Neodiprion lecontei: one gene and its partner. The protein of the gene in region 1 purifies or fractionates together with the protein of each later gene. This does not show direct contact. Links are inferred from orthologs where the notes say so. Each region holds a gene or a part of one and is shown on either strand. Other genes may lie near its edges. The genes, in order: AP-2 complex subunit sigma and F-BAR domain only protein 2.

Region 1 (4,030 bases):
TTAATTAAAAATCTGTCGAATGGTTCCATGTTATTCGATGCATGCTTGCAGTTTTAGTTTTATTAAAACCTACGCCTGTACACGTATATACCGAAGCACATTGATATAATGAGACTATTCACAATGTTATCGAACTCAATTCAGTGTTCATAATAAGTGTAGCGAAAATTGTCATCAATTAGTATTTTCATCTGTTGTTGTATCCCGGCTCTACATAATGTTTCAATGTTTTATCATTTTTTCCAAATTTCTATCTGTAATACAATTTAAATCGAATTTTAAGCTTCTGTCCTTTCTAGTTCAATAGTCGTGCTATTGGAAATTAAAAGAGTGACGTCATAACGGCAAGATGTCGTAAGGTTTGAGATATTTTCGGCGTTCGTATAATTACCCTAGATTTTTCTTTCCAATTTATTCTGAGAAAAAATTAAAGATCACTTCGTGATCGCGAGTTCTGTGTGCAGTCAAGCACTTGATAAAGTAGGAACCTGATAACCGTGCTTAACTAACTTATCGACATAGAACAGTGGACGTTGCACCTTTTACTGATATCAACCAGCGGTAAGACAGAAGAATTCTGTATAAGCTGCAAAAAAGATAACTTGCTGGACTTTTGAAAGAAATGTGAAACAAAACTTGAGGTGTAAGAAGAAATGGAGCATGAGATTGTATTGTAGAGAGATTTTCAAATACAGAACATTTCTAAGGGAATGGTATTTTGTTTTATTATTCGAGGGAGTTCAACATGAGAAGCTGTTTAAGAACTTTGGTTTGGCTAGTTTCTCGGATTTCACCAGCAAGAAACATTTCGTCCACTACAGTGTACACCTGAAATTACAATGGTATTATTAGGAGATTGACTATTATAACAACAGACTAAATATTCTACATGAGATGCGTTGTAAAATTTTTCAGCAGGATAAAGTACCTTATAGAAGTTGAACACCAAGTCTAGTTCGCAAACGTTGTGGAAATACTCGTTCAAGACTTCCACAAAATTATGAATCGCTTCCAAGTAGCAAAGATTGTTGTCGTTCACATCCACGCAAATACAGAAGTACAAGCCAGCGTATCGTCTGTAGACTATCTTGAAGTTTCGGAACTGAAACCAAGATACATAGGCGTCAAGCCAACCATAGGAAAAGCAATTTTTAAAAAACAGTTTCTTCAGTGTGTCAGAATTTGAACCAGAATTGGGAATCTTTTCATTATCAGTAGATGTACTTTGAGCCTTCTTTGTGACTGTTGTACGAATCAAGCGTCGAACTATTTAACGAAACAAAATAAGCTCCTTTGCACTGAACTAAGAAATTATAGACATATTATATCCAATGAACTTGTAGAACCTCAACGAAGTTGGTGTGTTTAGCATCTCTAACAGTGACGACGGCGTGAACTTCCTCGATGAGCTTTTGTTTTTCATCGTCATCAAAATTCATGTACCATTTGGCAAGACGAGTTTTGCCCGCTCTGTTCTGGATTAGGATGAATCGAATCTGGGAAAAATGTATAATCAGAAACGATCAAGCTAGCGTTGTACGGACCTGACAAAATTTTATAAACAAGCAATAATATTGATTTCAATGAGATAACGTAATTCTGGATACTGAGTTGAACCTTTAATCAAGGTGCACGGAATCAAATAAACATAAATTCTCTCGCTGAATTGTATTAAATTTTGATCGTATTCTCATGCAGTACTTGCCATTATCTCTGAGGGTGACAGATGACAGGTGACACTTTCGATCAAGTGTCTTTTTAGGTTCGTGTGATAAGTCCGCCCTCCTGCTTTATCAGTATTCTATCTGTACGCGTGTAAAATGCAATGAGATCAGACAACTTCAAGTCAAATTCTCGGCTGTTCGTCGCTTAGTGTCACCGTAGCGCCACGGAGCAATATTGGCGCTTCGGTAGCCGGCGCCATCTTGTTGGTGAGCGAACGCCGAAGACGCCGAACCACCTGACAAACGATCGAGGGCGGCCGAGCCGACAAGCACGCAGTTAACTGCGCGAATTTTGCTGTGCTTGATTGTGTGGTAGAGTTAATTCGGCAATTTTCGCGATAATTTATTGACCAGCCGGCTACGAGGTTGCGATTCTTTTCAGATATTTATACCGAGTGTATTGAATACTTAACACGGCGTTATGTGTATATTCTTCAGTCAACGTCTATGGTAGGTATACTACATTCACGCACAACAAATGACACTCGCGATTGAATTGCTGCGCTTTTAAAAATTTTAATCAAAATGGAGGAGAAAAGATATAGTGAAATCAGTGCAATACTCCTTTACTTGAAGTTAACCACGACGTTGTGATTACAGCATCATCGGTTTCACGTGTACATGATCCCTAACAAATAGTGGTGAACCAGTGAGTGAAGTATCAGTTTTATAGAATTTTTTGGAACAATTGTTATTCAACGTTTCAATTGTCATGTGCAGTGCAGTGGTGAAACTTCACATTTGCGACGAGCGCCGTGATTTTCTGCAGGCGTTTGGCGTAAGGGTGAGTCTGATATATGATTTGTCTCTTTGTGTAACGTATCAAGTATAGGTATGTTCGTACTGGCGTCGAGTTATTACTGAAAATGTTGTCATTAAGATGAATTTCGTGAGGGTTTGTGATATCACTTGACGATACGCTCGTTTTGCCTCCATTTAAATCAATCCTCTCTCCAGTTGGATGGTGCTTGCTTGTCAATCGACTTAATTGAACTACTAAAAGAGGTTTATTTGTGGGATAAACTTTATTATTGATTGACATATTTTATTGAAAGGTAAAGAAAAACCTGACGTCATACCATCATGTGTGATGTTTTACATCTGGTTGTATCATCTGTGATTTATATTCGATAATTACATTGAACCACTAAAAGACGTTTATTTGTGGGATAAACTTTATTATTGATTGACATATTTTATTGAATGGTAAAGAAAAACCTGACGTCATACCATCGTGTGTGATGTTTTACATCTGGTTGTATCGTCTGTGATTTATATTCGATAATTACATGCTTCCTATATTAATTTCACGCATACATAAAAAAGTATAAAATTTTTTGTTAATTTGACCGTGTACTCAGAGCGTGTAGTTGATGCATTCTGATTCTGAGAATAAGCTAAGCATTCGACGAATACCTCCAGTTGTGCAAAACTCGACAGCAAAGGACCACTGATCTGTAATATCTAAATCAGTGCAAAATACCTATATCAAAAATGTTGGGTACCTAGTGCAGTTGGCATGTGGATATATTCTTTGTTTCTAGACGTTGATTAGAAAACAATCCTGTAAAAATCTCAATTTTTTTATTGTCGATTTTGTTCATAGTATGCAGTGAAAATTTTCAATAATGTACGGATCATATTACAAGTTTTTTGGCCATTCGCAGTTGTATCATGGTCATTATGCGGAAGTTCTAGAGAATCTCAGGGTGCCGTTTCTGTAAGCGATCGCCCATGCTAGTGATAGAGAAGTATTTTCCATTATCGACGTAGCTTTGTGTCGACCGTGGCGTCGACTCTCCTCGCATACGACCTTAGCAAAAATACCTTTGGCTGACCGTCCTTAAAGCTGCTTATTCAATGGGGAAAAGCAGTAGTTAATGAACACAGCTTTGATATTTGACGTCTAGAGTTGAATCATCGACAAATACCTACCCATAAACAGAATAAAACATCAAAAACTGAATTTAATTCAGATTACAAAAAATAAATGTAAAGTTGAGAGATTTTTTACCAATCAGCGATCGTAATTTGTCAGCTATTAGTGAGCGACAAGGCGAAACTGACAGTGTGTTGGGTATTGCCACTTTGACAGATCAGAACGCAAGTTCAATAATCGGCGTTGTTATTTCTTGACGGTCCATTAAATCATCGTTTGCGTTATGAAGCAGCAAAACGTTGACACAAAAACAAACCTCCCTGATACCGGGGAAGCGGACGAGTGTCTATTCGAATATTTGCATGCCGAAATGGTGAATTACGTTCTGAGTTCAAAAACAAACGGCAAGGCAAGTTATACTACAGTT
Region 2 (4,953 bases), on another chromosome or scaffold:
TTTCAGTTATTTGTTATTAGGCATCAATTGTTGTAGAAATATGTAACAGTGTGTATACCTTGCAGGCCTGAGTCATTTTGGACTCAAAATCATTGCGGATTGCATTATACTTTTCCACTAGTGCCTTGTAATCGTCTTGAGATTTCTTGAATTTTGCATCAGCTTTTTCCAGTTCTCGTTGACTGGCATTGTCTTTTCTCAATTTCTCCAACTCTAAACCTTTTTGGACACACATGTCCTTTGCCTTTTGTAACGTAACTGTTGTATTTTGGATACTTTGTACGACATCTAGAGTGCTAGATTCCTCTTCCTTCACCTAAACATTAAATTTTAGTATCGATCAATATAATTCAGTTAAGTAAAAGACAATTTGGATGTATAATTTTGAAAGTATCAGAACTGTATTCATTTGCAGGAGAACCTTGGCCTGAAAATTTGATAAATCGACCAACGGCAGTCTGGGGGCTGAACAGTGGGCGGCAATTGATAAGCTTCCACTGCAGAGATAAAAAAAATGTGAACTGAACGGAGCAGAGACAAAAGGAAGGGCATCTGCTATGTTGCCAGATATTTTTTACTCGGGAAGTGACTCAATTGTTGAGAAAAAGCAGAAATCATGTCATGCTCCTAGTATAGCTGCGCACCATTCCAAAATACTTTCCTTTATGGCGCAATGGAATATTGCACGATGGATCAAAACAGCGATAATAAAATTATACAGCAAGGCCAATCGTTGATAATCTTGTGCACCGGGAGTAACACATTAGAGCGTCAAGTGATGTCATTCATTGAAAGATGATGTTTCAGTCATTGAATTATATGTTGTAGATCGACACATTATGAGAACTTGTCTGTATAAAAGATGTACATAAGTTTTCCTTGCTGTGTATCTTTGTGGAATTATGGGTGACCATAAGCTATAAACATTACAATGTAAGTTGTGACATAGAGCGGTTAAATGAATCTACTGATATGAATTCAATAGTGTATCCATTACTTTCAAAACTAAAAAAAAATATTGGTCTCGACAAATAATCAATACATCAGTTTAGCTCTGAATTTGCGATATTAATGCAAGTCTCACCACTTTGTGCTTTTTATGAAGCTCATCTGCATATTTGGAAACATCTTTGATCAGCTCCCCAACTTTCTGTGCCATCTGTAAATGGAGGCCAGCTAATTTTTCAGCAGCGCCTCGCAGTGCCGCCCAGACAGGGGCGAAAGTTCCATGACTGCCGCCACTGCCACTTGCCTGCTTGGCAACTTTGCTCAGAAGCTTGTAATTACTTTCTTCAATTGCTGATCTCTCGCGCAGAAAGTCTGCCAGTTCTTTACTTGCGATCGCCCCATGCTTCATATTATGGTACAGTACATCAAACCCATTATTCTTTTCACCCTATGGATTTGGAGAAATTTCATTATTCTAACAACACATGATCTCTCGAATGTGCTTTTTAAGGACTAACAAGAATATACATCCCTTTGTCATATATACAATGTCATAAACAAAGAGGTAACAGTTATATCTTTGATAGAAAATTGCTGTCTACATGAAAGTCATATTTTCGAATGAGTTATTTTATCCTGGTTGCAGCGACAATAGGAACTATTTGATGAACGTTCATTATGTACGTCAATTGTGAGACATTCCTGGGTAATAGGTACGTGGTGCAGTTAGTCACCATAAACTCTGAACAATAAAGAATATAGAACCTGCAATTAATTTGGATCACCTAGCTTATTGACCCTCGTCTATCAGTCGATATACTACTATTATTATACACTTTTATTTTATTGCATTTCTTATACAATATATACTAGTATTGTTATATACTATATTATTATCTTATACAATTAAAAACCCCTAGGGAACATTTTGTGTGAGGCTTCCATATTGTAGCTAAAATCAAAACATTACCTGCACTAATTTTCATCATAATAAATGACGTAGAAAGGATGAATATTAGGAAACATCTTGGGTTTGTAATATTTTTGCAAAAAAATTCTTGTGCCCAACCTTACCTGACATCGATTGTTTAATTGCCAATGAAAGACACAGCCTAGAGAAGCAAAAGTAGAAGACAAAATTCTGAGACCTTTATAGTTTGATATAAGCTAAATGGGTAATTATGGAAATAACGTTGGTAAAGGGCTGAGTGTATAGGAATTCTTTCGTCTCATTGTACGCACGCTCATATATATCAGGATATTGCGTACATATGAAAGCTGAAACATGAACTGTATTACTCCTAGGCTCGATTTGTCAATTCGGAATGACGTTAAGTAGCCTGGAGCAGTGACTCTCAGGCAAAAGTATGGAACCATCGTCGCGTTTATTGTGAATGGCATTTTATTTCAGTCAAGAGTCACTGCCTGAGACTACTCCCAACCACTTCGAATTAACAAATCGAATGAAACTCAAGTTGTAGGAGGAGGAAAGAGCAAGAGGAAGAGCAAGAGTAAGAAGAGCGAGCGGGAAAGATAGATAGAGGATTGGGCATTCGAGCCGCGCGTAGTATATCGCGTAACTCGACAGTCCCAACACAATTCGTAAGCCTGGCGTAAATCGCTAATGATCACTATCATAGGGACATGTTGACTACGTTTTCATCTATCTGTATGCTTCCGGTATTTACAACGTTCGTAACGTTAAGGAATTCATACGACGATGTTGTGATTCGGTCATTCTTGCAGGGCCCAAATAAACGTATGATGGTAGGTATAGTTAATAACGTATACACAGACGGGAAGAGCAGAGCGATAGGCGAAGAAATTCAAGACTGACGATAGGAAAGTGATTGACAGAAGGCTGAGATCGTCGAAAGTACTGTCAAGTGGACAAGAAAACGGAAACAAAGAACAATGCATCTTCGCAGTGACGCGGTGGGCATCGACACATAACCTGATGGGCGGAGCGGAGGGCGAAAATTCTCGTTTACGTTTGCAAAAGCACAACCACTTACCCAGAAATAATCAGCAAAGTCCACGGTCATGGTGAGTGGATGTCAGGCCGTCATGTTATGCACTCTGAACCTCACCGTCGCCCACTTTCGCACCACGCTATGCTGCACTTCTTGCCACGCCTCTCGCCATCAACTGATGAACACTAAATGTAATTCAATTTGTGTTGCGCTCAGGATATGAATACAGTTAACCAGCCCCTGACCACCGACGATCCGCAGAACCGATAGAACCTCACGTCACGACAGTCGACGATACACAACTACCAGACTCTGTCTCACAACGCTGACAACGTTAAACATTCTCTTTTTTCCAGTTTCTTTTTGGTTACAGAACTACAGCATTGGCAAAACTGACATACATTGCACGGTTAAACACAACTTTTCTGAGAGTCGTCCGTGAGACACCGTGTAGTAGTTGGAACACCCGATGCCGTAAACTGTGTCGCTCTGTGTCGCAGTTGGAAAACCCCTATTGTCAAGTTGCGTCAGTTGATGAGAGTGTCACCCGTATTCATAGTCCTTCCTTGAGGAACAAGGATTCCTTGTTCCTCATTTCACGTTTCATAGACCTTCCTCGACAGAATAAGGAGCCTTATTGGCCTCCTTCTTTCAAGGCAGGTCTGGAGCTTCCTTGAGGAAACCTTCGGCATTGCGATTGGCTGTTTCGTTTCATGTAGCCAACGCTTGCGCTTGCGCTTGACGTCTATGCACTTATGACCCGTATGACGCGGTCACAGCCAGTCTACAGGTTAACTTCTTTGAGGTTATACACTCTCATCAACCGACGCAACTTGACAATAGGAGCTTTCCAGCAAGGAGACACAGTATGACACTGTGTTACACGGTCGAACACTGTGCCTTGGTACTTGTTGGTGCTTGTTGGAACGCTTGAGGTTCTTAATTCAGTCACTATAGTCCGCTCATGCATTATACGAAAAATCTAGGAACATTGAGCGCTCCAGGAAAAAAAAACATTTGTGAAACGCGTGTAGACTATCATTGCATTTAATAAATAGATATAAACAATACCATGCGTCGAAAATAAAATCTCTAACTAAAAAATTGGCAGCAATGAATCCGACACAGTGTCCAACCATGCTCCGCAACTGTGTCCGACTGTGTCGTTCTGTGTCGTTGTTGGAAAGTACCCTGTTCGACACAGTGTCGCTCTGTGTCGCTCTGTGTCGTTGCTGGAAAGCTCCCAATGAGAGCTAATCTGTTCGAGTTAGATTTAAATATAGCCGAGTGGCGCTTCGATCAGCTGTTTTACCACCATAAGCAATCACATATCCTTAATATGTCTTCCTTCTGGAAGGGAGAGCCAAGTTGTGACTATGAAACGAGGACGCCTCTGAGATTCAAGGAAGCCTTCATCAAGGGTTCCTTTATCCTTGAGATAAGGAGGGACTATGAATACGGGTGTTAATGGAGGCGCACGATCTTCGATCTCAACGACTTATGCGGTAATAGAACAAACTATTGAAAAAGAGTCCGTTAAGCGGGACACCCCCGCCATCATAAAACCGGCCGAGTTACAAGACCTGTATACACGACCGTGGTCTCGGCAAACAGCGAATTATAACGTGATTGTAACATAGGGTGAAGGGGGGAGAGCGTTGTACGGGTTTACACCGCAAGAGGCGCTTAAATCGCACCTTGACAATTCTTCTTACTTTGCCCCAAAAACTGGGCCAGCTTTTGAGCCAAGTGCTGCTCGAGTGTTGTCTCCTTCCTACTACTCCGTGATTACAACGTAAGGTTATCTGTGCATGAGTATCGGAAAGATTGGTTAGGATTCCGCCAAATAATAATAATAAGCCATATGAATAACTCGTAGCGCCGCTTTTGTGGCCATAAGATGTACTTTTGTTTCGGACGTGAACTGACCAGCCCCCTGACACTCACCACTGCTCATATACTAAAAAATTGTACGCGGTTTGTCCCCGTTTTTTAATTCTTCTACGTGGCGCTAGTAGACTTCTGACACGCT

Evidence for each region.
Region 2: the proteins of AP-2 complex subunit sigma (region 1) and F-BAR domain only protein 2 purify together in Homo sapiens (co-immunoprecipitation; 3 studies listed by BioGRID and IntAct, counting the BioPlex papers as one, with this or other methods). This does not show direct contact. The link is inferred for Neodiprion lecontei from reciprocal best matches to the Homo sapiens genes AP2S1 and FCHO2.

Annotation. Positions count from the first base shown.
Region 1 is NC_060261.1:36,413,456-36,417,485, reverse strand, and holds AP-2 complex subunit sigma, read right to left. Parts: upstream 1,852-4,030; 5' UTR 1,709-1,851; coding exon 1,706-1,708; intron 1,497-1,705; coding exon 1,347-1,496; intron 1,103-1,346; coding exon 929-1,102; intron 829-928; coding exon 727-828; 3' UTR 645-726; downstream 1-644. Other genes in the region: trafficking protein particle complex subunit 6b, read left to right, coding at 3,887-4,012. UniProt on the Homo sapiens protein: Component of the adaptor protein complex 2 (AP-2). Adaptor protein complexes function in protein transport via transport vesicles in different membrane traffic pathways.
Region 2 is NC_060264.1:36,304,268-36,309,220, reverse strand, and holds the start of F-BAR domain only protein 2, read right to left. Parts: upstream 3,324-4,953; 5' UTR 2,994-3,323; coding exon 2,964-2,993; intron 1,397-2,963; coding exon 1,085-1,396; intron 918-1,084; exon of another isoform or gene 648-917; coding exon of another isoform or gene 645-647; intron 589-644; exon of another isoform or gene 422-588; intron 317-421; coding exon 59-316; intron 1-58. UniProt on the Homo sapiens protein: Functions in an early step of clathrin-mediated endocytosis. Has both a membrane binding/bending activity and the ability to recruit proteins essential to the formation of functional clathrin-coated pits.